Linked DNA regions of Arabidopsis thaliana. The protein of the gene in region 1 interacts with the protein of each later gene in a pairwise test. Each region holds a gene or a part of one and is shown in the gene's direction. Other genes may lie near its edges. The genes, in order: ATHB13, MBD3, AT3G56770 and AT2G42660.

Evidence for each region.
Region 2: the proteins of ATHB13 (region 1) and MBD3 interact in a two-hybrid assay, tested with the Arabidopsis thaliana proteins (one large-scale study listed by BioGRID).
Region 3: the proteins of ATHB13 (region 1) and AT3G56770 interact in a two-hybrid assay, tested with the Arabidopsis thaliana proteins (one large-scale study listed by BioGRID).
Region 4: the proteins of ATHB13 (region 1) and AT2G42660 interact in a two-hybrid assay, tested with the Arabidopsis thaliana proteins (one large-scale study listed by BioGRID).

The regions. Positions count from the first base shown.
Region 1 is NC_003070.9:26,254,867-26,263,642, forward strand, and holds ATHB13 (Homeobox-leucine zipper protein family), read left to right. Parts: upstream 1-3,921; 5' UTR 3,922-4,299; coding exon 4,300-4,435; intron 4,436-4,516; coding exon 4,517-4,899; intron 4,900-5,233; coding exon 5,234-5,599; 3' UTR 5,600-5,915; downstream 5,916-8,776. UniProt on the Arabidopsis thaliana protein: Probable transcription factor that may act in the sucrose-signaling pathway.
Region 2 is NC_003075.7:175,725-182,821, forward strand, and holds MBD3 (methyl-CPG-binding domain 3), read left to right. Parts: upstream 1-3,297; coding exon 3,298-3,789; downstream 3,790-7,097. Other genes in the region: GPAT8 (glycerol-3-phosphate acyltransferase 8), read right to left, coding at 315-627, 700-1,010; AT4G00420 (Double-stranded RNA-binding domain (DsRBD)-containing protein), read right to left, coding at 5,794-6,022, 6,117-6,228, 6,519-6,696, 6,852-6,905. UniProt on the Arabidopsis thaliana protein: Probable transcriptional regulator.
Region 3 is NC_003074.8:21,025,558-21,034,202, reverse strand, and holds AT3G56770 (basic helix-loop-helix (bHLH) DNA-binding superfamily protein), read left to right. Parts: upstream 1-3,448; 5' UTR 3,449-3,584; coding exon 3,585-3,812; intron 3,813-3,877; coding exon of another isoform or gene 3,878-3,986; exon of another isoform or gene 3,987-4,075; intron 4,076-4,536; coding exon 4,537-5,001; 3' UTR 5,002-5,301; downstream 5,302-8,645. Other genes in the region: AT3G56790 (RNA splicing factor-like protein), read left to right, coding at 1-368; AT3G56780 (FBD, F-box and Leucine Rich Repeat domains containing protein), read right to left, coding at 927-1,229, 1,346-1,468, 1,568-2,590.
Region 4 is NC_003071.7:17,765,083-17,773,223, reverse strand, and holds AT2G42660 (Homeodomain-like superfamily protein), read left to right. Parts: upstream 1-4,844; 5' UTR 4,845-4,965; coding exon 4,966-5,188; intron 5,189-5,273; coding exon 5,274-5,350; intron 5,351-5,430; coding exon 5,431-5,470; intron 5,471-5,547; coding exon 5,548-5,662; intron 5,663-5,755; coding exon 5,756-5,885; intron 5,886-5,976; coding exon 5,977-6,159; 3' UTR 6,160-6,174; downstream 6,175-8,141. Other genes in the region: AT2G42670 (2-aminoethanethiol dioxygenase, putative (DUF1637)), read left to right, coding at 1-76, 572-725, 808-1,014, 1,102-1,220; AT2G42650 (Ribosomal protein L1p/L10e family), read right to left, coding at 6,576-7,694.

The DNA.
Region 1 (8,776 bases):
TATATATCCAACAAGGCAACAATATAAGTTTATATATGGACGTGTGTATAATTGTGTCCTTAAATATATTAGATTGAAGGCATATTAATGACGAGTGAATGAAAGAGAAGTGTACAAGAATAGAATAATATGGATGTCGAAATGAGAAGTAGCCTTTGTCGTGATGGCTGAAATTAGCCCAACTTTTGGGCCTTATTTCTTGTCATGGGTCCACTATGTCTTCTTTGCTGTATTTACATGTTTGTGTTTTGCAACATATGAACACCACCCTTTTCTCCAAAACTAGGAAAACATATATCAATTAATGTATTTCAAGTATTGACGTAAATTTTCTTTTTAAAATAATGAATACGAATGACATAATCATAGAGGATTTATGCAAGTGTTTGTATTAGTAGTGTCTCTGTATCACCATCTTGATCTAAAACATGTAGAATGCATATAGGCCTGAATAAAAAACAATAAACATGCATCACACACGCACACGTATATATATATTTATGTCTAAGTTTTTCATATATAAAGTATTTTACACTATGCAGCTAGTTCGCTAGGACTAGGAGTGGTGTGACACGAGAGGAGGGACATATTGTGACTTCTTGAAAACTACGTTGTTGGACTTTCCTGACTTTCATGTTGAGGTTTTGGGCGAGACATTTCCATTTGGATAAACAGTAATCGAAACATATGCTTTTATAGTGTCTGAAATAGATACGTCAAAGTTGGGTGATCATACCGAAAAAAAAAAACGACTATACAAGTTTTCCAAATTCGCTAGCAACTTGTAAGACTAGCCTTTAAATTCACATATCTAATCATACGCTATATTTCACTTCTTGATGATAAGAGTGCACATATATCGCGTCTAGTCAATCTTGTGAAGAATGGATCATAACAGTAAACAATATGAAGTATGGATAAAATCATACAACGTCGCTCAATCACCGCAAGTGATCTTTAGATTGATTGACCGTGCGATCTGTACCACACCGAATGTAATATAATGTATGAAATTTTTTTTTGTTAAGTTCTTCGAATGGATTAAAATGTATCTAGATGTTTACATCTTTTATGTTTTGCCAATAAATATAATATATACTTGAGTACTAAAAATAATTAGTTGAAATTAACAATTTTTACTCGTCTTCTAAAAACCAGATTGTTTATAACTTCTTTAATTTCTCTTTCCTTACCAAAAAAAAAAATAACTTTTTGGGTCATTCACATTCCATACAAAATAAAAATTAAATCATACTCATTCAATAAATATTCGGGTATTTGTGAAGCTATATGTATGCATGGATAAGTAAAAGTACTTTGATACAAAAGTTTTGATTGCAGAACGGCACGATGTGATGCGTGAAATGTCAGTTAGAGACGGATAAGTAGTCTCAAAGTAATGAATAGTAGTCTAATCGAAAGTGAAAATGAACGTTAAAATGTTAATAATTATGTGGTTGATGATGTTAGAGTAAACATCATCGATGAATACGGCACAAGGGATGTTGGGAAGAGAAATTAAGAAAATAATAAAATAAAATAAAAAGAAAGATTGATTATGGAAAGGAATGGAAGAGGAAAGGAGGGAGAGACAAGATAGAACAGCTCTTATGTGGGGTTAATCAAATAGTAGTTTTGTTTGGTTTTTTCCTTAACCTAAGTACCCCACGCACCATCTTTATACGTCTGTCTATGCATGCATATACACACGCACATATGCATTCATGTGTACATAAGCTATCTAACATATAACAGGTCTGTTATATATATGAACTTTAAATAAATGGAAAACAACAAAAGGGTTTTAAGAAATTGCATCATTAGATTTTATATTTGTAACTCTCTAATATAATGCATTTGGAATTTTTTGCATCACTTCCATTTGATATGATACCAATCAATCGGCCAACATAGCACGAGAAACCCTTCTCTCTTAGCGAGAATTTTACTTTTGTGATACTTATTGATTATTCCTATTATTGTTATTTTGCTAATTGTATAACTTTTTTGTAATTGGTCAATCAATATTACTCTACATATATACATATAGCATTACCAGTAGTCAATTGATTTCTTGTTTCGTTTTGGTATCTGTCTTGCGGTTGATAGGTTAGGTCAAAGCTAATAGGTTTGATGAGATCAGATTTGATGTACCATGATTCTCATAGACATGATCTAGAATTTCAAATACATGTTACAAGATTGTTGATCATGGACATACGTATAATCCATGCTTTTGTATATATTGTAAGTCTATTTACAGTTTCAATATAATTTTTTCGTTTAAACGCTATTTTGAGATGGTGATTGCTTTTCCATTCTATTTCAGACCAAATTTCAATTATGTTTGGACCGATCATACTTTTTAGACTTATTGAACTTTAATTTCATACAAAAATGATGAATTCTAAATAAAAACGAAGTAACAATACATATAGAGAAATTCTACACTACTATATTTTGTTAGTTTAATTTCTACTTTTTCACCTTTTTAGCGATAGACTTTAGCAGTTACCTATAAAGATTAACTATATACGTTCCATATTCTGAACTAAAAGATTAAACTAAGGTTCTGAATGAAGACCGTATTAGATAAGGTGGGTGGTGTAAGACGGACACCTAAAATAATATATTTTCTTATGAACTCTGATGTTATTCTGACTGCCTTGATCTTTCCAATTCACCCGCAATCGTTTTTATTTGAAGAATGAAAACGAACAAATTTAAAGTAACTATATATCCGACTAAAAAAAAAATCACAGTTATACTATGGTTTACAAGTGCAGCTATTATCTTCTTCTTTTGTTAAATATTTCAATCTTCCTTTTTCACATCAAAATAATCAAAACTAGCATCATAGAACATCTGAAAATCAATAATATCACTTCTCTCTTCTTCCCACAAAAAATAAAATAAAATTATGTACAATCCCTAGATCCACAGGTCTAGGTCAATCCATGTAGACACAATACGATTATTTGATGGGTCTATATATAGTCCATACGTACTAGCGTGATTAAATAGGATCAACATTGGACCCATTCACTATCCAGCTTCGTCCCTACCCCAATATCACTACATCATTATATATATGAAATTAATTTACATCAATAGAAGTATGAAAGGCGTTAGTTAGCTACTTATTACATATGTTCTCAGCCTATGCAAATGATTTAGCGAAAAATAAATTGTAAATTAAGTTCTTTAGAAATAAATTTAGATGATAAAAAGAGAGAGAGAGACACAACTTTGATAGTTATGATTTAAGATGAGAATTGGACTTACAAAAAAAAGGACAAATCTAATAAAAGAAAAAGTTATTAGATAAAATTTAAAGGACAAGTATGATGAGTGAGAGAGAACACCTCTCTGCATGTCTCTCCCAAGGGGAAAAAGAAGAGTCCTTTCTCTTCTTACCATTTTGATTATCATCTCTTCATTTTCCACTTTGTACGCAAGCTAAACCCCCTTGTAATTTGCTTCCTTTTTTCATTTTCAACAATATTTAGGATTATGCCAATTTGATATGAGTAATAACACAACGAAAACACTAAGATTACATGTTTTGGTCAATTCTACGATTTTTAATCTGCAATTACATTTATTTATTTTTTAACCCCATTTTTTTTGTTCTATCTCCAACTAAAAGTAGATATTACACCTCAATATCATATTCAAAGTTCAAACTGTGTCTTTTGTTGTGGTCTGATGCAAATTTTATTTATAGATGAATCTCAGCGCACCACACAATAATCCACTATCCTAAAGACTAAAGAGTAAGTATATACCAGGGTAAATTAAATTGGATCCCACTTTTACTTGGAAGCCAACAATGGTTAAAAAAATATCTATCTATAAACGATTGTCGAAAATGAAGATAAAATTGGAGTTAATAATTATATATACTTTGGCTTAACGTAAATGAAGTTTAAGCTTGTATTTGATCGTGTTATTTTTATTTTTTTTAACGAGAGAATCAATTGAGTGCGTCTCTTTCTCTTCTCAGCTCATATGTCCTCTCTCTCTCTCTCTCAGCCTTTCTATATAAAACGAAATAAAGAAGAAATTAAATACCAGAAGTGGTATAGTCTAGGCCGATACATTTCACTATCTCTCTCTCTTTTGTTTTTCCTCTTCTTCTTTTTTTCCATTTGATTTCAAACTCTCACACAAAGAGCTTCAGATTTATAAGACCATGATAATGGCTTTAAGACAAAGATTGGCAAGAAGAAAAAACTAAAGAGAAACGACCAAAATCTCAAGCAAACAGTACTAACTTCTGTTGCAAAACAGAAGAAGATGTCTTGTAATAATGGAATGTCTTTTTTCCCTTCAAATTTCATGATCCAAACCTCTTACGAAGATGATCATCCTCATCAATCTCCATCTCTTGCTCCTCTTCTTCCTTCTTGCTCTCTACCTCAAGATCTCCATGGTATATATACATAAACTTCCACACACATCTCCTCTGTTTTCTCTCTATCTCTTTCTAATGCTCTGTTCTGTTCTGTTTCAGGATTTGCTTCGTTTCTAGGTAAGAGATCTCCAATGGAAGGGTGTTGTGATTTAGAAACAGGGAACAATATGAATGGAGAAGAGGATTATTCAGATGATGGGTCACAAATGGGAGAGAAGAAGAGGAGATTGAACATGGAACAAGTGAAGACACTAGAGAAGAACTTTGAGCTTGGAAACAAACTTGAACCAGAGAGGAAAATGCAGCTAGCTCGTGCCTTAGGTTTGCAACCAAGACAGATCGCGATTTGGTTTCAAAATCGAAGAGCTCGTTGGAAAACAAAGCAGCTAGAGAAAGATTATGATACTCTTAAACGACAGTTTGATACACTTAAAGCTGAAAATGATCTTCTTCAAACTCATAATCAGAAACTCCAAGCTGAGGTAATTAATCTCATAAATTAACAAAAAAAATCAATATGTGTTATTTTTTTTTGGGTTAATGATCAATAATTACAGTTATTTTCCATCTAAAGGATGATTTTTTTCTTTTTAAAAAAGGTTAAAAATTATATTTCTGGTTTATAATTATTTGGATCAGGAGTTGCTTTCAGGTAGGGTTAAAAAACTGGACATGATTCATGACTTTTCAGACATCATTATCTCTTTTTTTCTTCACTCTTGTCTGGAAAGAGATCTGAAAACAATAGTTTCTTTATGCTTATCACATTGTACAGTAACTCTGTTTATGTTTAAAATTTTGTCTTTAATTACGCAGATAATGGGATTAAAAAACAGAGAACAAACAGAATCAATAAATCTAAACAAAGAAACTGAAGGATCTTGCAGTAACAGAAGTGATAACAGTTCAGATAATCTCAGACTAGATATCTCAACTGCGCCGCCATCAAACGACAGTACATTAACCGGTGGCCACCCACCGCCACCACAGACAGTTGGTCGACACTTCTTCCCACCGTCGCCAGCCACCGCAACGACAACTACTACAACAATGCAGTTCTTTCAAAACTCATCTTCAGGACAGAGTATGGTTAAAGAAGAGAATAGTATCAGTAACATGTTCTGTGCAATGGATGACCATTCTGGTTTTTGGCCATGGCTTGATCAGCAACAGTACAATTGAAATTGGTCTACCTGTTTTTTTTGTTTTTGTTTTTAAAAAAATTTATATTTTTTTTTTTTGTATTTGGAATTTTGATCAGAAGAACCCATGCATGTTTTCAAAAACTGGAATCTATATCATTAGCTCACTTTGAAATCTGCAACCAAACACCACTGAGGTTTTTTGTTTACTTTTTGAGTAAATGAGATGTAAAAAAATGGGTAATATCCATTATATTATATAAAAAATAATATCATTATGGCCCAACATTTTTCTGTATGGAGAAAAATAAAATAAATTGTATATTATATAGTTTAGTCGTGGGTACTGGCACCATGTGGTCGTAGTCGTCATATTCAGAAGTGGGAAGAAATAAATGGAATAGCACAAATGAAAAGGACATTTTCCATGAAACAAATCATTATTTTTGTTTAAATCCATGAAATAAATTCTGCATATGTCATGATTTGGTCGAGCGGGTTAAAAGGACCAAAGAAAAATGATGGGACAAAATCTAAACGAGTGAAATTTGTAATCACGAGACCTTACAAAAGACGTACGATATTTAAATCTGACGATGCCGCAGACCATCAATTTCATAACCCTTCTCTTATTCTACAGTTACATTATTCATTTCACCGTGTGTGTCTTTTTTTTTTTTTTAAGAAAAAAAAATCTAACATCACTATCAGCAAATTATAGTTTGTTTTTATATTAAAAAAGACAGCAAATTAGAGTTTGGTTTGATGAAAACCTTTGTTGTCCGGTTTGATGACAATGCCATTCGTTCTCGCGCAGAAATATTGATGAGGTATCAAGTAACATATCATGCATTAAAATAATGTGTCACCGTGTAAAATAGTACTCATCTATCAATGACATATATTAAATGCATAGTCCCATTAGAAGTCTTGGTTCATCAACACAAAAATATTTTAAGAAATCAGATATCCTCAATTTCTTTAAGATAATATGGGATTTTAAGTAGAAGAGATTATAGATTTGATGAGAGTAAAAGAAGCAGCAAGAGACATTAGACGCACACAGATTCCAAGGGAGATAGAGGAAGAGGACAAAGAGAGTTGGAAGAAAGCAAGCAAACAATTTGGGGTTGGAAAGTTGTCACTCTCCTTTTTAATCGACTCTTCTCCTTTTTAACTCCTTTTCATCTTCCACATTCAAATGGCCGACACTTTTAAACTTTTGGAAATTTCTTAAAGAATTCGATGTTTCCTTTTGGTGATAAATTTGAAATCTCACTTACAATCTATGTTTATTAAAAAAAATATTGAACCAATCATTAGAAAAAATCAATTAAAATTTTAAAAGATGCTAGCGACAAAAGAATGCGACAAAATCTATAAATAAAAGTTGCTTAATACCCAAAGATGTGGAGAAACTAAGGCCAATGTTGGCTTCAACGATGTTGAACCAAAAAAATTGATCGCCATATATAAAAGCGGTTGTAGGCTAGAACACCGTTGATTTTTTCTTCTAAAGAACTAGTGGTGAATTGCCAACTTTTTAAAACCAGAGAACTGAAGTGTCGCCAGTTATAGAATCCTAAATTAGATTAAAATCAAAGGATATTTTAACTTTCATTAGATTTGAAAAATCAAAACAGTTAACATGTTCAAACCCCCATGTTGAAAATTATTGGTGTTAACCCAAAGGTCCATAAGAAAATATCTCGATACTCGGTGTTAACTAAAAAAAATACTGCAAATGATACTATGTAGCTCTAGTTCAACACGATCTCTCTAGTCTCTAAATGACTATAAGAATTCAAAACAAAACATATCAAACGAAATGCGTTGGTGCGACCCACTAGAATCACCCACTTCTTTCCTAAAGTACAATTTTCTTTTTAGCTAACCGTGTTTGGTTTGCTTTGCTTTTTTGGTTAATGGACCCTTTGTAAACTTGGATGCTTCAACTACACTTATATGCTCACTCTTATCACTTCCACGTAATATACTTATAAATTGTACAACTAGGAAATGACTTCTTGTGTGCATGTGTCTGTATGATAAAATCCTATATCATAGAATTGTACATGTGGTAAAACATTCCTTACGTTTGCTATCTAGTTATAAATGTTATTGGGTACGTATATTTTTGAACTTTTGTAGTTAAAAGCTTGTTGCCTGATTATTTCTTTTGGGATAGAATATGTCATAAGATTTCTATCCGTGCCGGTAAAAAACAAAAAAAAATCTATTAGTGGCGGACCCCAAAATTCGTTAAATACAACATAACTATTAATCCCTTTACTTTAAAATATAAGATGTTTAAGATAAAAATACAAATATTTAGATAGTTTTTTTAAAAAAAAAATATGATTTGTATTTAATAAAAACAAATCTAACCAATCATAAAAAATATTACAGCATATAAATAGTTAAAAATAATAAAAATATATTTAAATTTGTATAGAACCTTGCAAAACATCTTATAATATGAAACAAAATAAAAATGTCTCTTACATTTTGAAATAGAGAGAGTATTAATTAAAAAATAGTTATTAACTGAAATGTGAGTATCGAACATGGTTATAGTGGGTCAATACACCAAAATTTACAAGTTATGCTATAAGTTCTTTAAATTTAATAATTTATATCTTACCCCTACCTTGGTCCACTCATGATTTGAATACTTAAACATCACATATAGAAAATTATAAATATATCCTTATTAATTTTTTTTATAAGAAGTTGTTTAAACGATCGTAAATCCATACCATGAACTTTAACACACATTCCATATCCATACCATGTAGATGTTTGAAGTGGGAACTAGCTAGCCATATAAATATATCAGTTTCAAATATCTCTTTTAATCTTCATATTTCAAAGTTTCTATTGAAGTTGTAAATCTAGAGTACTTTATAATGAATGAATGGTGTGTGGACACAATTCAGAGGTCAAATCCATCAATTATGCTCAGAAGCGTAATTATATCGACACGACACTTATTCGTACAATCATCTTTAGTGGTTATATATTTTAGGAGTTCACAACGTTTTCTTATAGTCGAGAATCAAACTGAAGCAAAATATCTCTGACATGTTACGTACAAGGTTACAAGTCTAAGCTAATTCAGATGACAATTGACAGCGATAACCAGAGCGTCCAATGGAAATCAACTTCAACAATGACGTTCATCCACATAGTTATTAATACATTTTAAGTCACTATA
Region 2 (7,097 bases), on another chromosome or scaffold:
GTGGTTGGGGATAGAAAAATAATCCAGAGGGTCACGTGAAGTGATTGGTTGGATACATTTATGAACCTTACTAATTGCTTCCAAATCAAAAATTTCATTATTTTTATAAGATTCACGCGTAGACATAATGACACTAAACCAGTCAACAAGTTAAATTAGATTATCTAGCTTAATCAACAAGCAAATCAAACGTTTGCTTAGATTCTCAAGTTACCTCCAAAACACATCTTACACTAAACCAATCAACACTCAATAATTCAACTTAACTTTACCCTATAATCGACCAAGATTGGATAAAAAGATTGGAACAGTACCTTGCAGAGAGACATGAAATCATGATCAGAGGTTCGATCACCGAGGCCGAGATCAGGTGATTCGTTACCAAACTCTTTTAAAATGGCTAACCTCTTAAGATCACCAACAAGAACACCAGGCTTCTTCACAAATCCAGTGGCTCTATTGGTTTTAGGGTTAACTTCAATCTCTGTTCCCAAAACTTTATCACCTCCAAGATAATCCTTCACAAACGCCTCCACCATCACAATCGGATTCGCCGTCACTACCACTTTTCTCTTACACTTATCAAACACCTCAAAACTGTCTTTCCTCACATCCGCCGCGTAAAACCTAAACAAAGTTCATCAGAAAAAAACTAAAGTGATCTACTAACAAGAAAACACTCTATGTTAGATCTCGTACCGTGGAAGAACTGCGCGAGAGACAAGTTCGATATCGCGGATTTTGAGACCAGCGAATGAGATGAAGATGAGGATCTGGATACCAAGAGATTCGGATACGAATAGGTAAGAGATAATGACGAATGGTAACGAGAGAAGGAGGATTAGTCCACGTAAAAGGCTTCCAGCTTCAACAGCGACGAGCATGAAGTAAGGGAAGGAGCTTCTTGAGAGAAGCAGAGTCCCGTCAAGATCGGCGGCTATCGAATCGTACTCTCCGTCTCTGCATTCCGTTATTGGAGGGAAGTTTTGACTCTTCTTCTCCGGAGACATTTTCACTCGCTGTGTGTGTGTCTCTCTCTCTCACTCTCGTTAATGGCAGTTCTAAAGAACAGAGAGCAAAAATAAGAAGACAAGAGAGGGAACGTTATGTTTTAAATGCACCTATATTGAAGACCGTAATATTAATTCAGTGGGTTATATCTATAATCTATATCTATGTGAATGAATATGATATATATATATATATATGTATATGTCATTAACTATGAAATATCCACTAAGAGCGTAAAGTGTAGGGCCACATGTCGAATTCATTATATGAAAATGATTATATGCATCTATACATGTGGTGATATTGTTGACACAGTCGAATTGTCTATAATCTTTTTAGAGACTTTGTCTTAGATTTGGGTTTAATTATTTAGTTGAAGTGAAGTTGTTAGAAAAGTTTTAGATTTAATGTAGCTTAGATATCAACTATATATTGGTTTAGTTACTAAACCAATATATAGTTGATATTAGATTTTAATTGCATTACTGTTGGGAATAATTTAAATCTTGGAGATGATATTGAATAAACTCTGTTAAATTTCTTAACCCATCAAAATAGGGAAAATAATAAAGGATATTCTAGAAAGCTTTATGAAAGATCAGTGTTAGCCAAAACCGACAAGAACCGGACCAATACGGGCCGTAACCTCATTCTAGAAACGATCTTATCATTTCAATAGAGGCGGTGGCTCGAGTCAAAATCCCACGTGGATTAGGGTCAAGAAGACCTCTCTATAAAATGTAGGACTAATTCGACACAAAGGAAGGAACAAAATCGAGGACAAAACCGCAAAACACACGACTTAATTTTAAAACACGACTATAATTTATAGATTAACTTGTTATGCCTTGATTTTTGTATTTTGCAATCGATATTTTGACCAATAAAAAAATTATATTCGATTATTTTTATATTTTTTTTTGTAGAATGTCACAAATTGATTACTTTTGTCAAAATAATTAGTTAGTGTAAAAATATATATGACCACAACAACAACAAAAATTCTTCGTTGTGCAAGTTAGGTTGATCTTGTTCTCACTACTTGAGCAGTTGAGCTTAATTTGTTTATTTGACCGTTGGGAGTTGCACCGCTTTGAGCCGCACATTTATGCTCATTAAACATATTTATAAAAAAAACGCATGAAAGTGTTTGACCAGAGACAAAGTGTATTAGAAATTCACTAGGCTTACACAAAAAGGCATGTTGAGCTGTATTAGAAGACCCTTAACAGGCCTCCATACTAGTCTTGAAGATGGGCCGAAATTCACTAGGCTTAAAGATGCGCCGATATTCACTAGTCTTAAAGATGGCACCACAGATGGCTCCGAGACATTGCATAATCATGTAGAACACTGCTCTGGTCAGAGACAATTTCCGAGCCAAGAACAGACCAAATGTTACGAAGAATGGATTATATAATACAGTACAGTATATGGTTTTGCCTTCTTATATATGTCCACATCATTTAAAATCTTAAACCAAAATTGAATAATTTAAATAACTCATAAAACTTTTATATGTATGCTTGTCTTACATTCAAAATGCGCATTATCACTAGTTTAATATTTCTATAACTGATCAGTTTTTAATTGGTTGACACCAAATGAAGTGGTCACTGACGCTATAGGATTCTATTGGGCTGCATATTAAAGTTTTTTTAAGAATTGGAACTTTTAATATTATCTAGGGTTGAAGGAACTAAAACGCCTGTCCTACTGATGTAAGGCTAGCCCTAACCTACATGTATCTCAAGCGTCCAAATTTACGTTAATACAATTTTCAAAGCATTGTTTTTCCTCTCCTTGGAGAAAGTACATGCAAAATCAAAATTAATGGCTCCGACTTTTCGAATCACCGCAAGCTACTATCTCTTCGAGTTCTGGTTATAATAGTACTTGATTAGATACTTCTTATAAGGCTTAAAAGCCAACTTAAATGCTATTGCAGTAAAGATTTCATTCCTTCTTCACTTCACTTTACGAATCTAAAGGATATATTTAGTTCTTCTTCACTTCAACTAAAAGGCTAAACTCCCAAAAAAATATTTTTATCTCTCTCAAAACTTGAAATATGGTGAGGAAGACTACTCAAGCTACATCTCACAAGGTATCGACAATATTTTATTTTTATTATTGCATGAAGATTTGTTTTGTCAATGCATGAAGATCCCAAAACTTGAAATATGGTGTTTTATTTTTATCATTACATGAAGATTCGTTTTTTATCATTGCATCTCACAAGGTATCGACAATGTTTTATTTTTATCTTAGTCTTTGTTTGGTTTTATGTGTGTAGTGAAAACCACGTTAATTGACTCATACGCTGCACAATGTTGGAAGTGTCTTAAAGTGAGATCTATAGAGTCACAAGAAGATTATGAAGAGATTCGTAGTAAAACACTGGAAAAGTTTTTTGAATGCAAGAGATGTGAAGAACCTGGAGATATGGTAATGAACTTTGATTCCCTTACTATGCGTTGGTTTCAGGATGAACATAGTATACCCAAAACCCCTCAAGGTTTGAAGAGAGTTTTGGTCGTGAGAACAAACTGCGTGAAAGTCGATGTTTACTATGAATCATTGGCTCCTAGACGAAAGAGGTTTAAATCTATAAAGGAAGTTGCAACGTTTATTGAAGACAAGGAAGAATTTAAAGACATGACGCTTGAAGAGGTTTCTTTTGCCGCACCCAAACGGCTGAAACTAAAAAAGAAACCTGTCGATAGTCATTCTAGCTCAAGGAACACTGAGGAAGATGGTGTCTCGAGAGATGCTTAGTTTTGTCTGCTATCACTTATCAGGATCATTCATCGCTTCTCTTTATCTCTTCTCTTTTGAACTTTTGGTTTTTGTCTTTGATTTCTTTTGGTTTTTGTCGTTGAACATTTGATGCTTTATGTTTTCCCAGTTTAAGCAATTTATTTCCTCTTTTATCATATCTTTTATCATGTACTTGAGTAATCTGCCTAGTAATCTCCTTCTCTCTGAACAAACTGCTACCTAAATTACTAGCAGCAAACTTTGAATCATACACGCTTCTTAGAATTCAAAGCTTCTGAAAGTCCATCTTTGAACAACTCAACCTTTGATTTATCTTTGCACTTCTGATATTTTGACAGTCTTAGACCATTCTGGTAGCTTTCCTTGTAGCTATCTCACACTAACTGATACAGTGACGTTCTTGAGGCCCTTTTAACACAATGATTTAATCAACCTTGAGATCTTTGCAAATCATAGCTTTTGATCATTCTCTGAAATTCCTTCTCTTTGAAGCAACAATATCGAAGGTCTCTTTCTCCTTGTGATAGCAACAGATTCATAAATACTTCAATATGCGAATCCTTCTCTTTAAGAACGAGCTATGAGAAGACTGATTCTTCACCACTAACTTGTGTTTTACGTTTCTTCAACAAACTTAATTACAGGTTCTTTCATATTAATAACTCTTCATGATAAACCAAGTTCTGAAGATGCCAACGTAGAGATCAGTCTCAGACTCCATTACTCAAATGCCTTGTAGTTTCAAGCCAATGCTGACATTCATGTCTCTTTGCCTTTCATGTCACTAAAAACTCTTCGTTCCATAAGACTCTGTATCAACTGTTCTGAAGGGTCATCAGTAAGCTATGTTCCCGGACTCCAAATTGAGTGTCCTTATACCAGAATCTTGTCTCACATGTCTAGAATATCTCTGACAAAATTCATCCCATTCAGAACTCATTTGGTCATCCGTGTGATGTTTCCACCGAAACTGGTCAAAACTGAAACTTCAGATGAATTGTGCCCGGATCAGGTTGAAGAATCTCAAATAACACACAAACCAACCGTCAAAATCTCAATCCCACCGTTGAAAATCAAGACAGAAAAGCTTGCCACAAAGTTTCGGCTCGATCAGATTACATTTCACCAACCAAACGTTTCCTTGAATTAGACATTTCAGAACTGGTTCATATCTCCTCTTTCTTCTCTTCTCCCCCATGGTTGCACTTTGTTAATCTCTTTCATCACACAACATTCTTTATGTGACCAACAAGATCATCTTTTCCTTAAAAATGTGCTCTCCAAGCTAGCCTTTAAGATTCTATTTTACAGTTTCTTGTCTTAAGGCAACTAAAATTCTGCCTGTGAGACAATCTCTAAGAGATCTATAATCTACATAACCTTAATCTTGTTATTTGCACCGGAATCTCAGACTTAAAGTTTCTCAGAAGAAATAAGATGATGATGTTTATCGCCCTTGCTAGAATCACCGGAGTAACCAAAGCACCACATAGCATATGAAAAATTCCCAACTGTTTAGCTATGTGGTAAGATGAAAATTTTCGATGTGGTATAAAGGCAGCTTAGGTTAAGACAGCTTCGAGGCACTAGTAGTAGATTTTTATGTGTTATAAAGGCAGACTCATTACAAATTTTGTTTACTCAGAATAGATATCAAACTTATGAAACCTATCAAAATGCTAATTTTCATTGAAGATGGCATGAGCCAAACGAAGGTTGGCAATAGCTAAGGTCAAACCAACAAAAGTTTGCGACTTGCGTATATAGTTATATCAAAGGAAAGTTGACGCGAGATATAGTCAAAGTATCAAAATAGACATTTGCATAGATAGACAAAAAATAACGCAGGTTAAAGGTACACATGAAAATAGTCTCATAAAAGATGAGTATTTTGTGACCTTTTGAGCATCCTAGGTAGAGCTTATATCAAAAGCTAATCCTTAAGGCCGATAAACATAAACAAAAGTAATCACCTTAACAGATTCTAACTGGCAAAGATCATTACACGGGTTCACCTGTTACCATCATCTTCGATATCGGTTTACTCCGTCCTTTACGACCAGAAGCTTTCTCTGTTTGAAGGGTATAACCCACATTCTTAAGATACCAAAGTGCTGCTTCTGCTGCCTGCTCAGCTGCGATTTTCTTCTTGTACTGTGGATTCCCAAAACACTCCAAAACCGTTATCCGAGAATCCTCCTTCATTTCAACCGTAACTTTGCCTGTAAATCTGAACAAAACAAAAGAAAAACATGAATGATGCTGACACTAAAGATTTCTAACCTTTAAAATGTGAAAAGAGTGCAGAAATTATGTGCTCTTACATTTTCATATGGCAAGGACCCTCGGCGATATACTCATACAGTGGTGCTTTCCAATGCCTCACACTACATAAATTATACAACTGTGATTTGGCTGAAGATCTCTGAGTTTCTTCTAAACAACATGCATGTGAACAACAGAACAAAATGTCAAATTGTCGATAAATGAAAACTAACCCCAAAAAAATGAGACATAATTGACAAGTTTTAAGCTTTTGATTTTTAAGGAATCCAAAAGCTCTTCAAGAAAGCAAACACAGGTACACAATACTAACATTCTTATTCCATAACCATAGCTTTCATCTTTAAAACCCTTATAACCAATAACATTAACAAAACCTTAGCTAAATACAACTGATAACACCAAAATTAAGTAAACAGTGTGGGGAGAAAAAGAGTAAGTACCTTCAGTAGTGGGCTCAGTTGTGTGAGGCCTCAAATCTGCTTCTGGTTCGGAAACAAGAGTGTTCTCAAGTGTAAAGTTTGGCTCCATCTGCGTGACATTGTCTTCTTCGACAGTATCGTTCAGCTTCCTTATCTTAAACTTACTTTCGCATCTCTGTAGCAACATCCTCTTTTGAGCCTGAATAGAGACAAAGAAAAAATAATAATAATAACTGATCCAATCCAACAAAAATTAACAAAAAGACATGACAAAATGATTATTTCTTCTCATTTAAGAAGATCTAAGCCCAAAAGGAAAGACTAATATTTCTATTTATATTCCGCATTTCTTACCACAGAGAAGGAAGATATGGGATTTGATGAAGACTCTGGAGGAGGAAGATCCATCGTTGATTTCAAGCAGAAAATTCTTTTTTTTCTTTATTGGATTAATTAGCTTCAGCTACCTTATTCCTTTATAATAAGAAACCAACACAAATCAGACAGACTTTAACTACAACAAAAAGTGTTTCAAAGACATTGCATATATATAGACTAGTTAATGATCACCTAGATCAAAATCCAGAAGCATAGTGCTAT
Region 3 (8,645 bases), on another chromosome or scaffold:
GATTTCAGGAGCTGGCAATAGATACGGCTGTTGCACATAAACAGACCAAGGGCTTTTTTCTGCGTGTAGATGTACTTGGAAGAGAAATAGATGAGTATGGGCATGTGATTAATCTTAGTACATTGATGGTTAACAACAACAAACACAAGAAAGATGTTTTTCAGAATATTCTTAAACCTCCCCAACCTTTTAAATTGACAAAGAAGGAAGAGAAGAAACTGCAAACTCTAAGGCGTGTGGCAAAAGAAAAGGAGAAACAGAAGATGATTAGACAAGCGTTGTTTGAACCACAAAAATCAAAGGTGAAATTGAGCAACCTAATGAAGGTTCTTGCGTCTGAATTAGCAACCCAAGACTTCTTCTTATGAAGAGTTTCCTTCTTCTCATTTAACAGATTAACTATGAAGAGTTTGTTAAGGTCATGATGGCTAAGTGATGCTGTTTTGGAACCAAACAATGGCTCTAAACTTGGTTTGCATCTCTTACATATAAATTCTTGTGTTATGTTCTAATTTTTTTTTTGTGTGGGACTCGAGGTATGTTTTCTGGTTGTTTAAGAAACGAATGTTATATCCCTTTATGATCTATTTTGCGTCTGAATATTTTCAAAAGCCTTGTTATTTCTGTTGTCTTGCTCTTGTAATTTGTAACTTGGTCTAGTTCGTGGTTTTCTATTAAAGGTCTCTAGTGTCATTGTTTTTTTAAATGCAAATTAGGTCCTATCAATGGCAGTCAGTTTACGTTAAATTGATTTCCTAACGGGGCTCATTGAATAGCTTCAAATGATCAACGAAACAGAAGGCCAATAAAAACCTAAACACAAGAGAATGTGAAACACCTCAGTAGAAATTTTAATGAAACATTGAATTTAGTGAAGCATCAAATCATAAGATGTCCGCGAGTTTCTTCCAAATATTAGCAATCATTTAACAATTTGCTTTGTTTCTTATAATTTCATTCAAAAGAACTTCACATGACTTTGAACCTCTTGGCATCGAAGCTAAGTCCTCTTCAATCTGTTGCTTCGCTTCCACTTCACATGGATATGTCTTATAGAAGATTTTTGCCGTTTTCAAACAAAGCGCATGGTTCAGGAGATAACTCACCAGATCCTTATCTCCGTATCTCCCTGTGTACCCTTTCCACTCTAGAGCTTCAAGACTGGACAACAAACATTCGGGAACCAAACTTGGCGGTTCCCAACGACCCAACGGGGTTAGTAAGTAAACCTGCGATCACGAGAAAAAATGGTAAAACTGCTATTAATAATAAGATCATTGAGGTCGAATATTAAACACTAGTATAAATTACAATGGTAAAGGAAAAAAGGGAGAAAACTGAATACATGTTCAAGCTTGAGGACCACCAATTTAGTGAAACATAGGAGCAAATCTACAAGCATTTCCACAGATCTTTCACTACATATGCTCAGCTCCAGATGCACGATTCGACTGAAGGTACTTGCATCCTAGAAAAAAAAGAAAAAAAAAACACGATATTTCATTTATGTGATGGTTCCAACAAGATATAACACGAGAAAGAAACGACATGGAATGAAAAAAGTTACCTCTAATTTTGATGGAACTCCGAGCCTAACCCGTACAATATACCGGTAACGGCTTGCATATGCCAACTCTTGAATGCTGAAGTACTTGAAAGAAGGTGCGATAATCGCAAGCTTTCGAGTGTAGTTTTTCATCAAACTAAAAATATGCTTGGAATCTGCATCGACTCTTGTGATAATCGACAATCTTTGTAAGTAAGGCATGTCGATATCCAAATTCAACAAAACATCACTGGTTTTTTCTTCCAGTGTTAGGTCGGAGAGAACAGGGCAATTGGATAAAAGCCGACAAAAGGAATCATTGTTAAAGTCCTCCATGCGGGCAACATGGAGAGTTTTGAGGAGTGGGAGACATACCGCGGAAGAAGAAGAAATGCTTATCACATCCTTCAAGCCTTCGAGTTTCAAGGCCATAAGTGTTTTACACCAAGAAACGTCGTACTCAGCAAAAAAGAAACGAGATTCTCTTATGACCATTAGGTCAGTAATAAAATTGCAATTGGATAAAAGCATTTGAAGGGATCCAAAGTCGAATAAACTCGAGTGGTCAATGTGCAGAGTTTTTAGGGATGGGAGAGAGACCGTTGTAAGAGGAGCTTCCACATCGATCACTATACCTTTGAGTTTCAAGACAACAAGTGTTTTGCAGGTAAACAATTCAGGAGGTAATACGGTATGGACAATACAAGCATCTATCTCTAGCTCACGGAGGTGGCAATGATGATGATGAAGCGCGGTTCTAATCCATGGTCCAATGTCTTTATTCCACAGGGTCACACTTAATTCGACATGAAGGCTTTCTAGAACATGAGATTGGTGTGAGAACAGAGACTTGTCGAGAAATCGTTCAAATCTAGTGTGATCCCGAACATCGTACTTGAGTATAGGCACCCTTGTCCAAAGAGATTTCCATTTTTTTGACAAAAGACTTGTCACTACAACATGTTTAGTAGAAACGAATGACAAAATCTTCAAGATCAAATCGTCGGGCAACTCGTTGATACATGAACAAACCTTCTTTGTCATTGTCTCTGTTTAGGTCGAAAAAACATTAGACTATGTTTAAAACCCTAATTACAAATAACTTGTTTAGGTCAAAACTCTTTATTGCTTATCAAGTTTCTCCAATAACTAATAAATATAATTTCCAACTAATACTTACGAGATTTCGTGCGAGGTAGATTCTGAAGATCTGGAGTCTGGAGTCTGGAGTCTGGACGAAGAGGATTCACCGGAGTTATGAGATCTCACAAACCCTTCGACTTCCCCACAAAGAAGAAGATAACCAGTTAGTATGAACTTAAACCGATCTGATTAATGTTCTGGTTCAATTTCTTGGTTCAATCATATCCCTCGGTGTGTTTATATGGGCCAAGTAGAAAACAGAGTCTTAAAGCCAATTAATTTCCTTCTTTTCAATAGAAAAGGATAAAAAATCCATTACATAAAAATGCAAATGAGAAATATCAAAATTGTGCTTTCAATAAATCCCCTTTTAAAGAAGAAGAAACATAGAAGTTGTTGATGTGTTGTGTAGATATACTAACAAATTTTTTATTAAAGTTTGATATGATATTATTTGGTAAAAGATATATAGTAAAAAATTTCTTCTAAGTTTTTGCTTTTGTAAAATATTTCTTTTTTATGTTAAGATAACTTTGTAAACAAAAATTGGAATACCTTGCCAGTTGCCACCCTTCACTACCCAATTTTTTTTGTTATCTAGAGCTATTAAAAATGTTATGAAACATACAATTGCAATCGTTCGGTTGCGGAAAAATAATGAAACCTTTTTTCAAATTTTTTTTTTTAAAATATTTCTACAAACACCTAAGTATATATCTATGTACATACGACGACAAAAAAAAATATGTATGTACATACATCTCCTCTCACTCTAAGCTTATTTTCGTATAAATTATAGTATAGTCATATTCTTTTAGGACAGAACCCACCGAAAGAAAGCTCCAAACCCAACAAAAAGGGAGGCGGCGGAGAAGCAAACAACAGCAACAAAAAAATGCAGCCAGAGGTTTCAGATCAAATATTTTATGCCTTCCTCACCGGAGGATTATGTGCCTCGTCTACTTCCACCACCGTGACGTCGTCGTCTGACCCTTTTGCCACGGTTTATGAAGACAAAGCTCTTGCTTCTCTGAGGAACCATAAAGAGGCTGAGCGAAAGAGAAGAGCAAGAATCAATTCCCATCTCAACAAGCTCCGCAAGTTACTCTCTTGTAACTCCAAGGTACACAAATCTTTTACTTTACTATCTCACTACTCTACTCTAAACTTATAATGAAACTTAGATAGAGACTTGAACCGGAAAATTATAAAAAGCATAGAAGATAAAAATGGAAGATTAAGCATGATGAAACTATTAATTCTTTTGGGTTATTTAAGATATGAAATTAACTTCTAAAGTTACATATTCTTCAGTACTCGTCTAAACATGCATATAATTTAATTAGGAAAAGATTTATGAAATGAGGATTAAAGTTTTGATGTTATCTCACCAGAATTTTGTGTTTTTAATTAAATCTTTATATCCAAATGACAATTTTTTTGTCTTAATCAGATTAATCTTGCTTGTGTGATATACGTTACTACAGTCTAGTGTCTAGCTAAGATTTTATTTATTGGTGAGAAAGGTGGAATATTGGAAGTATATCACTTATAGAAAATGAACCATTTTAAAACTAACATCAGTCAAATGTAATGTTTTCGAATAATAAAAAAGCTGCAAGTACTGGGAATATCTAGAAAATTGAGGAGATATAAAAAGCTTACAAGCCCCTTTTTTTCTCTGAAGCTGATAATCACTTTGTCGGGAAAGTTATCGAGCTTTTTTTTTTCTCATTTGAAAACAATTGAAACATGAAGACAAAATTTCTCGAATCAAGACAAATTCTAATGATCTGACCTTTTCTCTTTCCTTGTTTCCTTTATTTGTTTTAATTTTCTTTACACAGACAGACAAATCCACACTACTAGCAAAAGTGGTTCAACGAGTCAAAGAACTAAAACAACAAACCCTAGAAATCACCGACGAAACAATACCGTCGGAGACTGACGAAATCAGTGTACTCAACATTGAGGACTGTTCCAGAGGCGACGATCGACGGATAATCTTTAAGGTATCGTTTTGCTGCGAGGACCGGCCAGAGCTCTTGAAAGATCTCATGGAGACACTCAAATCTCTTCAGATGGAAACTCTCTTTGCCGACATGACAACAGTCGGTGGTCGAACAAGAAACGTTCTCGTTGTGGCCGCTGACAAAGAGCATCACGGCGTCCAGTCGGTGAATTTTCTACAGAACGCACTCAAGTCTTTACTCGAACGGTCAAGCAAGTCGGTGATGGTGGGACATGGTGGTGGTGGTGGGGAAGAAAGGTTAAAACGACGTCGTGCGCTGGATCACATCATAATGGTCTGATCTCGATATGACTTGAGCAATTATTTAGGGTTTAACTTTATTATATAATTAATTAACGTGAGTATAATTACCACAAATCTTTTGTTTTTTTTCTCAAAAAAAAAGAAGACTTTATATGGGTTTAGTTATAAGTTTGAGTAATGGGTGTAAACATGTGTTGTAACTTGTAAGTAGGAATTTGTGTGTTCTTTTCCGATTCTTTTAGAAGAAAATACAAAAAAAGAAAAGGAAACTATAATTTTGTACAAGTTAAATCAAATTTTAGGGGTACGTAAAGTATAGGGTGATGACGAAGATTATTAGATTGTGGGAATATTTGTACAGACAGAAGAATCTAACAAAGAGATGTGATTGGGTAAAGTACTTGCAGCGAAACAAGACTTTCAAAACAGTATATGTATTTTAGAACTTAAAAGCATCATGAAATGGTGTATATAAAGTGAACGTACGATGCAGGACAGTCAAGAGAAGCTGTTTGTAGAATCTTAATGAAAGAATATATGGAGAAGTGTTAGAGTTTCAAAGCTACCTCATGTTATCTTGTCCCCTAAAGAGTTCTGCCTTTTGTTCGTATCTTTCTGAATATTTTTGTACCTTCATTTGTTTTTATGTCTTCCTTGAAGAAATTTTTAACCAATGTTATATTTACTGTATTTATCTATATATGTTTGACCACCTTTTTTCCTTCGTATGAATCGATCATATTGTATATAATATATTAAGAAAAAATCAAATTTATTTAGTATACTAGACTTCTAGGTTTTTTGGAGCACATGGAAAAAGCAAGCACAGATTCACAACAGAGTAGGTATGACGAAACTGGAGAATCTTTTCGTCAAATGTGAAAACCTATTTCTGTTAATGTAAATAAATATACTATTTGTTATTAGTAAATGTGGAGGACGGATTAGTGCTTGAGAATGAGGTAATACTTTTACCGTATTTGCGAGAAGGTGTAACACAAGAAACAGTACCACAAGACAGAATGTTTTTTAAGATTAAAAACTATTTGCAGTTTCATAAAATTTGCAAAGCTAAAATATTATGAGTACTAAATTGTATCCCTAAACATTACTATTTGATTAGAAAAAAGAGTAAACAAACAATGAAGAGGCAGGGTAAAGGCGTGAAAAAATAGAAACGAGAAAAGGATAGAATTGATGGGGCCATTCTTCGATGAGACAAAAAGCATTTCTATTTTTCTCTACTCTATAATATGGATTGTGGGGATGAATTAATTTCTTAATATATAAAGTAGACTCATTGTGATGTATGGGTGAATTTCTTAACTTATGCATGTTTGATTAATTTATTTATCTCGATACCACAGTGCCTTCACTTTCCTGTGCTGACATCGGATGATTTTGAAGTTCCTTTTTCTTTTATTTTACATTTGAATACCCTTTAAGGATTATTATTTATGATTTAATTCTTTACTCTTTCACCAAGTAAGGCACGAATTCACATTCTTCAACTAGCTATAAATGGATTTATAGCTGTTGTATTTTAAATTGATAAATTCACATCGCTCCACTGTTTGGAGAGAAAATAGAAGATGTGGTCTAAGTAAAGCTTTGATTGGTGCTGAAACATGATAAATGGTCGAGAGATGGCTAAGGTTAGTATATATGAAAAATATGAGCAATTAACTACAGACTTTTATGTTATATAATTCTTGAATTGTTGTCATTATTGACCATTTAAGGGGTTGGACATTTTAAAACTTCTCCAAACTCTGACGTGAAATGTGTAGGCTTTTGCAGTTTGGGAGACTATACTAGAGAGTATAACATATTGAGCTTGAAGAAATAAAAAAGAGTAAAGCAAAAATATAAATCGAGAAAGTATGTCTAGTAAGCGTGATGGTGTAGATGGAGTTGGTGTCTCCTCGATACTCAACCTCTCGACCAAAAAGAAAACATAAATTTAGCTTTTCACAAAAACTGAATAATTAAAGTTCCATTTTGAAAATAAGCTATAGTAACAAAGTACAATTTGAATTTGTATATTCTTCTGGAATATGGATTTACAGCAGAGCAATCACTAACAACACACTAAAATGTTGACAAAAAGGAAGAGCAATCACTCTTTAATGTGAGCAGTAGTGTTAAGACTGTTAGCTAGGTTAGCTGCGTCTTGAGTTAAATGGGTTTAGCCCAATTTGATTTAGCTCGAGTAGTATCTAATAAGAAAAAACAGATAATGTTCTACATATATTTGTATAAATGACATTAGAAATAGAAATAATTTGACCTTTACTTATGACAGTGGAAGAAAGCGACAAGTCTTCGGCTGAAGGTCCAGTAACAAGGTGAAAGACGAAACGATATCCACTAGTAAGTATTGTATTGGGCCAGGCTAAGAACTGATTCACATTCAGAAACTGAGACCCAATAACAATTGTCTAAAACAAAAACAAAAAACTGACCCAACCATAGTTCCTCTTGGAAAATTTCCACATATAGTTAGGAATTCAGTGCGTATGCAATCATCTACTTATCCAAAAAAAAAATGTAGCTTTTATAATTTAGACTCTTTACGAATCTACAGACTTATAAAGAAGTGGAGGAGATGAGGGAATCAAGGAATAAGAATTCTTTGCTTTTCCTACTTTTCTCCCATTTCATTCATTGCTTTTGGATTTGTTTGCTACCCAATGTAAGAGCATCTCCATTGGAAGTATCTCAATGAGATACCCAACCAAAAAAATAATAATTAAAAAAAAAAGTATGAAAAAAGAGAGAAAAAGTAGGAGAGAAGGAGAGTTGAGTTTCTCTTCCGAGAAACTTTGAGTAATTATTCTCATCCAATTTGGACAAGTGTCATCATACTATTAGTTCAATTATTAAATAATAATTAATGTATCTATTTTAATTAAAATATTTTTTTTTTTTTTGAGAAACTTTCCTTGTTTTTACTGGCCAACAACATTAATATTTGTGTGCTTTATTCTCCTAAGTTTCCAACTTTCCACACCAATTTTAGTTTTTCATCTATGAAATCATTATTCACGGTTTTTGTCAAAAGATTTTATATTTGATTAAATAACAATATAAGGGTACAATTAGCAGTATGCTATAATCTCCCAAAATTTTGTATCTACAAACTACCAAAAGAAAATCAAATCTTTACTAATCACATGATTGAAATTATTTTTTATACCTTTATGAAAGAAAAATGGAAAATTCAATGCTTTGGTAGAAATTATTTAGATTTACAAAGAAGTACAAATTCACGTTTTCTATTGCGCAACAAATTGACGCTCTGGTCTCTGGAAGTGTTCGAACTTCGAATGTTGCGATCATTTTTTTTTGTTACGATCATTTTACCTATAGTCTTTTTATAATTCATGCGTTAAGAATATTGATATTAACATATGATGATTAGAGTGAGATATGTAGTTTTTCTTGTCGTCAAGGAATATTTGTTATAGTTTATAGAAGAAAAAAGGGAAGAATCTTTTGCAAGAATCTCTTAAAACATTATTCCGTTTTACTGTACAATATTATACAAATTGTATAACACAATAATTGGCAAAAACAGAAAAGAGAAAAAAAGGAATATGAATCGAAGATCCAATCATATAGTATAATAATTAATAAGTATTATTCGTCTGATTATGCTTCTGTAGTGGTATGCGAGGC
Region 4 (8,141 bases), on another chromosome or scaffold:
CAATGAACGCAATGGAAGTAATCAGTCTCCCCCAGCAATAAAGTATCTTCATTTGCATGAGTGTGACAGTTTCTCTGTAAGCATACTGATTTGAAAACTCTATGGCTGATTGGTCTTGAATGCTGTTTAAGGTTTGGGTGAATCTTTTGTGATCCACTTTAGGATGATTCAGATACAAAATAGCATAAGAGTCCCATTTTAACTTCCTAGGTTTAAGTAGCAATGGTTCTGCTTGGAATAATATGCAAATACCGTTCAAGGTTAAAACACTCTATAGCCAATCCTGAGACAAAAATTTTAGTGGATATTTAATCTTCTCCTTTTCCGCATATTCAAAATTAGGGGAATAGGGGGGCATCCAAACATGGTCCTTGAGAGAATCTCAGGAACCAACTATTCAAGCCATGAGCCTGAAGTCTGCAAAAAAGCCTATGACAAATGGTCTAGAAAGTATGAGTAAACACAGTTCGAGTCAATTCTGAGTCTGTCTCTAGTTGGGTGTTTTATCTTCCTGATACTGCCACCAATGTTATCTCTCACTTGGTTCATTTTGCCTCTGTTGTCAAAACAGATAGGAATCTTCTGTATGCCACCTTCTTCTATGATACCTCTTCATAACCATCCGGGCATGACCGTGCTAAGCAAGCTCGTTTATGGTTCAATGCATGTGAAGTCATATGATTGGCTAGAGCCTCAACTGACCGAACCAGAGGATCCATCACAAGGTAACCGTCTTCTTTCTGTTACTCTCTCAGTTTTTATCCAATCACTCTTCTGGTCTAATTGTAAACTATTTTGATTCATAAGAAGCAAGACCTGCTAAACTGGTGAAGGATACTGAGATGACGGCTCAAAGCCCAGTAACAACATTATATCCGAAAAGTGGTGGCAACATTCACTGTTTCAAAGCCATCACCCATTGTGCTATTCTTGACATCTTAGCTCCACCTTACTCTTCAGAGCATGATCGGCATTGCACTTACTTCCGGAAATCCAGAAGAGAAGACTTACCAGGTAATACAACTAAGCTCTCCAAAAACCCGATCCCAGAACCATATTAGAACCTTTAGTGATATTGATTTGGATTGTGAACTGGAGCAGGTGAATTAGAAGTGGATGGAGAAGTGGTCACAGACGTGACATGGCTTGAGGAATTTCAACCGCCTGATGACTTTGTGATACGACGAATTCCGTACAGAGGTCCTGTCATTAGAACTTGATGATGATCTAATCTTTACTTGTCACATAATTTGGGCGGCTTCGGGTTTTTATTTTTTATTTATATTCCTTTCGGAAATAATTTGGGGGGTCTTTTTATATTGCAAACGGGATTGTACATACTAATTTGTGATACACCGTGTGTCTCCGTTTCATTATATTGCAAAAGACTTCTAATGGTTTTTAGTCTTCGGTACTAGACTTCTCTAATGGTTGTGTTTACAAAATCCTTAAACCTCGTTTTGCATAGTTGTGTTTCTTCCTTCATATGGTAAGGTCACACCAGCATAGAAGTTGCCCCGATACGCCCAATTTGTAGGTTGTGCAGTTGGTAACTAAGTTGGGATTGATTTGGAAATCGGAGTAAAGTTCATGGGATGTGTGATCTTACTGTTTTTAAAAAATAAGGGAATGAAATGGCGTCGTTGGCTTTTTCTAAGTCTAACAAAGCAAAACTGAACAAAAAACAAAATCACATTCTGGCTACTACGTAAGACTAAATCCCATCTCCCTCTACCAAGCGGCTGGCTGAGTCTTTATTACGTAAGGACTTAGTGGATATTATCATAAAATTAGTGGATACACTCTATTTGCTTAGTGGATTTCAATGGAATTTCATTCCTCTCGTTTTATTTTTTGGTCAATGGATAAATTAGCTCTCCACTTTATCCATTTCGGTTTTCATGAAGAAAATCAGAATTATCAATTATTTATGATGATGAAGTTGAACAACCAAACTAATTCATAGAATCATAGTGGTTTATATGTAGTTGAAGCATGGGCTTAGGGACTAGGATCCAAAAAATTTGCATTGCGATTTCAATACTAGACGTCTTAAATGGTAAGAATATCCGATTTGTAATCTACAGGGCAAATGAGAATAGTCTAGATTTTGGTCCAGATTCTTTGGTTATAAAAAAAACAAAATGTTTAACAACGAACATTGATATGGTCCCAACCTAGACCTAGACCTAGACCCAAAGACCAGGATTATAAAGAGAATAAAGAAAGCATTTCGGGGTAATCATGGTTGAAAATTGAAATAGATGAGCCCGTTCCTTCATGAGTAAAGTTTATATAATCGTGGAAATTTTTAACATGCTGATTGAGGTGTGATACCCTTTGATCCCAACCGCTTTGAACGCAAGTACGCAACCACGAACAAAAGTAAGCATGGAAACAACTTAGAAAAGATCAAGAGAAACCATTACTATGTTACGTTATTAATTTGTTAATTGTTACTCTTCATTATAATGCATTTTTCTTATGAGTGTATAAATAAAACTTTTGAGAAAAGAAGATCGAAGCTAATAATCATGGTCCTAAAGATACGTAGGCATGTGATGAGGAAGAATTCAAAGACGGTGCCTCATTTTGCGGCGATTCTTTAGGGCAACATGCAGAATTTTTTAGCTTCTTGCATGCATAATAAATAAATATATCAACTGGATCAACGTCCTTTTTACATTTAAAAATGGTTTTGTGCATATAAAACGTCCTTTAGGGAAACAGTTGTTATATTTTTTGTCAAAAAATAAATGGTTTGTACATATAAAACGTATCTAGTAAACATTCACAAAAAAAAAAATCCTCTGAAATGGTAAAATATAAAAGAATTTTCTTGGAAGAAGTAGAACTCGACAAAAGATTCTCTTAACCAAAGAAATTCATGTCGTTTAAAGAAATTCAAGAACTATTGAAACAATTTGAAATTATATATTCCATAAAAAGAGAGCATGGGAAATGGAGGAATTGTGAATGAAGTGTCGGTACGTAAACAGGTTAGGACAAAACAAAGTTTCCTCATCTTTCTTAGTGCCCACATGAGCCTCTACGATTCCTTCTCTCCCATCAATGCTCTCTTCAATCTTAGTTAATTACTTCGAATGTTTGTCCTATCTTCTCTTCTCTCTCATCTCCTATCTTTCTTTCTCTCTCTATCTGTCCATAACCCTAGATTTGAAGATCGAGGGCGATCATGGTAAAAGACTTCATAGAAATTCTATAACATTCAAGCTGTGTTTATATGAATACGAGCGTTGAAATTTGATCCCATCGCGTTTTCATATATGTTCCAAAATGCTTGTATAGATATGTGTGTGCATAGACATAGAGTGTCGGAAATTTGCATCGGGACGATTTATAATTAATTTGGTGTAGGGTTTGAGGTCCTTATTAATTTCACATAAAACTTGGTTCAATTTTGTAAAAAGTGTTTGTACTTATTTTTCTTGATTTGAAACTTATTTTGAGAATTTATGATTAACGACAGCTTATCTATGTTTACAAATACTAATTCAACTCACAAGATGACAATAAAGACAAAGATTGCACTCTAGAAAGAAAGTTGCTTTGCCTAATTTGAACAATTAAAAAATTGCATTCAAAGATAATATACCCGTAATTATTTATTAGTTACCTCTCTCGAATTATATACTGATTGGTAAGTTGGTAAGCCCTACAAAAACATATAGTTAGCCAATTCTCGAAGAGAAACCAAATACTAATATATGGAGGTGTGTAACCCAATGCCCATTGAAAAGGGTCACCAATAATAAAACCAAAAAGATAAAGACAACTTCTGTTTTGTACATACGTGAACTCAAGAATCTTTGGGAATCACATCCTTAACCATTTGACAAAACTCCCTTCTCTCTTAAGTTTTTATTTAAATTCTGTTTTCAAACGTTGGGATTGAAGACCGTCATGTATTTAACCTAAGTATATGAGAAACATGAATATAGATCAATAGCCATCATGATAAAACCAAATGCGTAGAAACGTAATTCATTCCACCACATAGTAATCGGTTGAGAGGTAGACAATAGTTTGTACCTTTTGTCTATCAGGGTTCGAATCAATCGGCTTAGATCGATAGTTCTCATGTTCCGTTTGAGTTCCCCAATGCTAATCTGATTTTTATTTTTTTAAGTTGTTTTGGAGACACTCAAAAACGTGGTTTAATATGACAAAAGGGTAAAGCGTAGTCTCCGGCAAAGGTCAACTTAATTGGAAATTATTAAAGAGAAAATTGTTAGAAAAACAAGAGTGGTTTGGTCGGATTGAAATGTTTGATACATCATTCACAAAACAACAATTCTAATGACACAAAATATTCGACTGCCAATTGTGTATACATATAGACTGGACTATTTGAACCAATATGCTTGATATCAAATATATGATTAATTAACCAATTTAAATAGCCTAGCCATTGTCACATGATATATATCAAAGGCACGTTAGGTAAACAGAAGATGTTTTAAGAAATGGTATAGTTTTTGGAATCTGAATTCATATTCAAATTCACCATATTTAAATCTTGTTTAAAGAAAGATATTATTTTTAAGAAGTAAAGGAGATAAGTTTACATGTCATTGTCACTAAAAGAACAAACGGATATTTTTCTGGTATGTTAACAAAAATGAAGCAAAACCTAATAACTAATGTGATTTCACCAAACGGAAGATTCCAACACACTTTTCCATTAAAAAAAAACATACAATTATACGTAAACATGCATGACATAGATAAGAATTTTATATATCTATATAATTATATACTATAGTTTACGACAAATAAGACTATATTATATACTTATAAGTGTATATATATGATTATAGCTAGTATTATTGAAGCCAACGCCGAAATTATCATAGAGATTTAACCTCTCTCATGGGTTTTTTTTTGTTTGTTTTTGAGTAATTGATCTCGAGAGCTAGCTAAAGACACTCTCGCCGGAGAGACATGGCCGGGAGATCTTCGCCGGGAAAATGCTCCACGTGGCTTGACCTGAACAGAGAAGAAACAGTGGAGAAGAACAATGAAGAAGAGTCATCAGTGGAAGACGAAGACCAAATCACGAATAACGTTAGACAGTATATTCGGTCCAACATGCCTCGGCTTCGTTGGACGCCTGATCTTCATCTCTCCTTCGTTCGTGCTGTCCAACGACTAGGCGGTCCAGACAGTAGGATTCTTGTTCTCTCTCTCCACGTCTCTTTCTCTCTTTCTCTCTCTCAGCTTTGTAATGTAATTGTTGTATGATTTTAAAGGAGCGACGCCGAAATTGGTTCTTGAGATGATGAATCTAAAAGGATTGAGTATTGCACATGTCAAGAGTCATTTACAGGTAATCTTCATCGTCTGTTATTCTAAGATTATCTCAGTTTTGTTCATCTTTTTCAATGTTTTCATGTTTCTGATTTCAAGATGTATCGAAGTAAGAAGCTCGAGCCGTCTTCTCGCCCTGGTAAGTTAGTTTTGATCCGCAGACATTTACCATTCCTTCACTGGGTTTCATAATTGATGGAAATGACTTTTGAACAGGATTTGGAGCTTTCATGAGTGGACAAAGAAGCTATTTGATGGACATGATCGACTCTCGATGTATCCCTCATAGCGATTTAAGACATGCCTATAACTCTAAAACCGTTCCTTCGAGGTCATACAAAGAAACAAGTTCCAGTTACTAAAATGTTTCACATTTGTATATCCGATCCGACCAAGGAAGTTAAAATTGCATTCTTTTCTGTAGGGTACTCAATCAAGACGCGGTCGTTACAAATCTTGGAGGTAACTTTCTTATGCGACCTTCGAGCTGGTTTAGCGGGTTATGCAGAAATGACCGAGACAGCACAGAGAACAAGACTCTGCCTCTACTCGAGGTAACTACCTACTTTCGTTTTAAGAGTTATAGAGGAACAGTTTTGTTAAAAACCGAGGAAGGTACTGTAATCTTGGTGAAATCTTATGCAGATTAGGAAGAAGAACAATGAGAAAAGAGTCCGAGATGAAGAAGTATCATCAGTCAAACGATTGAAATCAATGTCCGGAGGTGGGATACAGTTGCCTGAGTTTGGAAATTGCAGGCAAAAACCAACAGATGATATCAACACAATGCTCTCGCTCTCTCTGTTGTCGACATCATCAGAACCGTAACCAACATACTAGAGAGATGAAGTTTAACTTTAAAAGAGATTCAAGAGTAGAGACTTTTGTTTTCCTTAGCCGTTTCATGGGATGAGTACTTAGCCAGGATCTGGATCAGGCTTGAGTCAGATCCTGCAAGTACTTATCCTTAGCGGTTTCTCTGCATTCAATACAACACCAATTCTGGAATGCAACAAAACACATGTAATAATATGTTTCCTCGTCAAAACCACCAAATCAACTACATGGCAAGTCACTAGTTTGATGAAATAGTAAACGATAATAAAAGTCCTAAATATATAAGAATCATGATGATGATACCATAATAAGACAAAGTCATAATCAGTATCCAAAAAAATCACTCAAGCAGAAAGAATAGAATACTTAGTTATAACGACATTAATATAAAATCTTCTTTTCTTGGTTCACCTCCTCTTAGTCTTAGCTTTGAATCCACCACCAGACTCATCAATGTCCTTCTTTAGCTTTTTCGACTTTTGCCCATTCTTACTCTTCACAATGTCTGGTTTCCCACTCACTGCAGACTTACTACTACTCATCTTCTTCCTCTTCTTCTTATCTCCAGAAGCATTGAGATCATCAGCAACCTCATCTTCTCCAACACTCCTATCGAATTCATCATCACCAAGAGTCTCAGATACATTACTATCCATATATCTAACCTCATGAATCTTTCCATTCTTCTTCTTTGTCTTCACACTCTTACTACTACTATCATCAACATCACTTTTAGCTAATCCTTCACCATTCTTAACTTCTTCAACACCTAAAGGATCAATCTTGAGCTGCAAATAAGGCACTGTCTGATATAATGGCAAAGATAAACTCTCAGATAACTTCAAATGCAAAGATCTTATGTATTTCCACCTACTAGGCAAAACATCAACAACACCATTCAAAGTCGCCGTCACATTCTCAACGATATCATCGCTTTCCATGGACAATTTCGCAACTTTGATCGCACTACAAGACCCAGTCCTCATGAAGAACATAGCAGCACCACAAGCTTTCTCAATCTGCTCTTTCCAATTCATATGCTTCAAATCAATAGCCACAGGAGTCTTCTTGCTCTGAAAGAACTTCTTCCCAATCAATTTTGGCAACATAGGAATCACTCTCCGATCTGAGAAAAACATATCGTATGAATCACAAAGCTTCCGTTTCGATTCGAATGATCCATAATCCGATTTCAGCTTCGAAAGCTTAACAACTTTCGTGATTGGTATGTTCTCTGATTTGATATTCTTCTTCGCATCTTCCTCGGTGAGACCACTTTCAGGTCTGTCGTCGATGATGAGACAGAGCTCCGGTGAGTCTTCGGTAGTGTTAATTAGCGGATGCGGGAGAGGAATACGATAAGCGTTCGTAAAATTCCTCTGTGGAATCTTCTTTAGGGCTACGACTAGGTAAAAGAATCCGTCTTCTTCTAGAAGCTGTGGCTTCTCCGTCCTTGATTTTTCGTTTCCCTCTTTGACCAGAGCCTTAACTGCATCGTCCACAGTCTTGGGACTTACTCTTGACATAAGTGGTGGCGGCGGTTGCGGCTGAGCTGCGGTGGTCGGAGGAAAAGAAAAGTTATTTAGGGTTCTGTGAAGGAAGATTCAGGGTTTACGGAGGACGATGACTTTTAAACGAGTTTGTTTTGGGTTTCTTAAGGCCCATAATATTGGTTAATGGGCTTAATTATATTGTTTTCATAAATTGTCCTCAAGTTTTTGCATCGGAGAAATCTTTTCTATTAAACGAGTTTGTTTTGCGTTTCTTAAGGCCCATAATATTAGTTAATGGGCTTAACTATGTTGTTTTATAAATTGTCCTCAAGTTTTGCATAGGAGAAATGTTTTGAAGATTTTTTTTTTGTGTGGTAAGAGAAACTTTTAGAAGATGGTAATTGGTAAGATTTAAGATATAGGAAATTATGACAAACTAGCTTATTTTATCAATACATGAAATCTTTTTTATTTCATGTT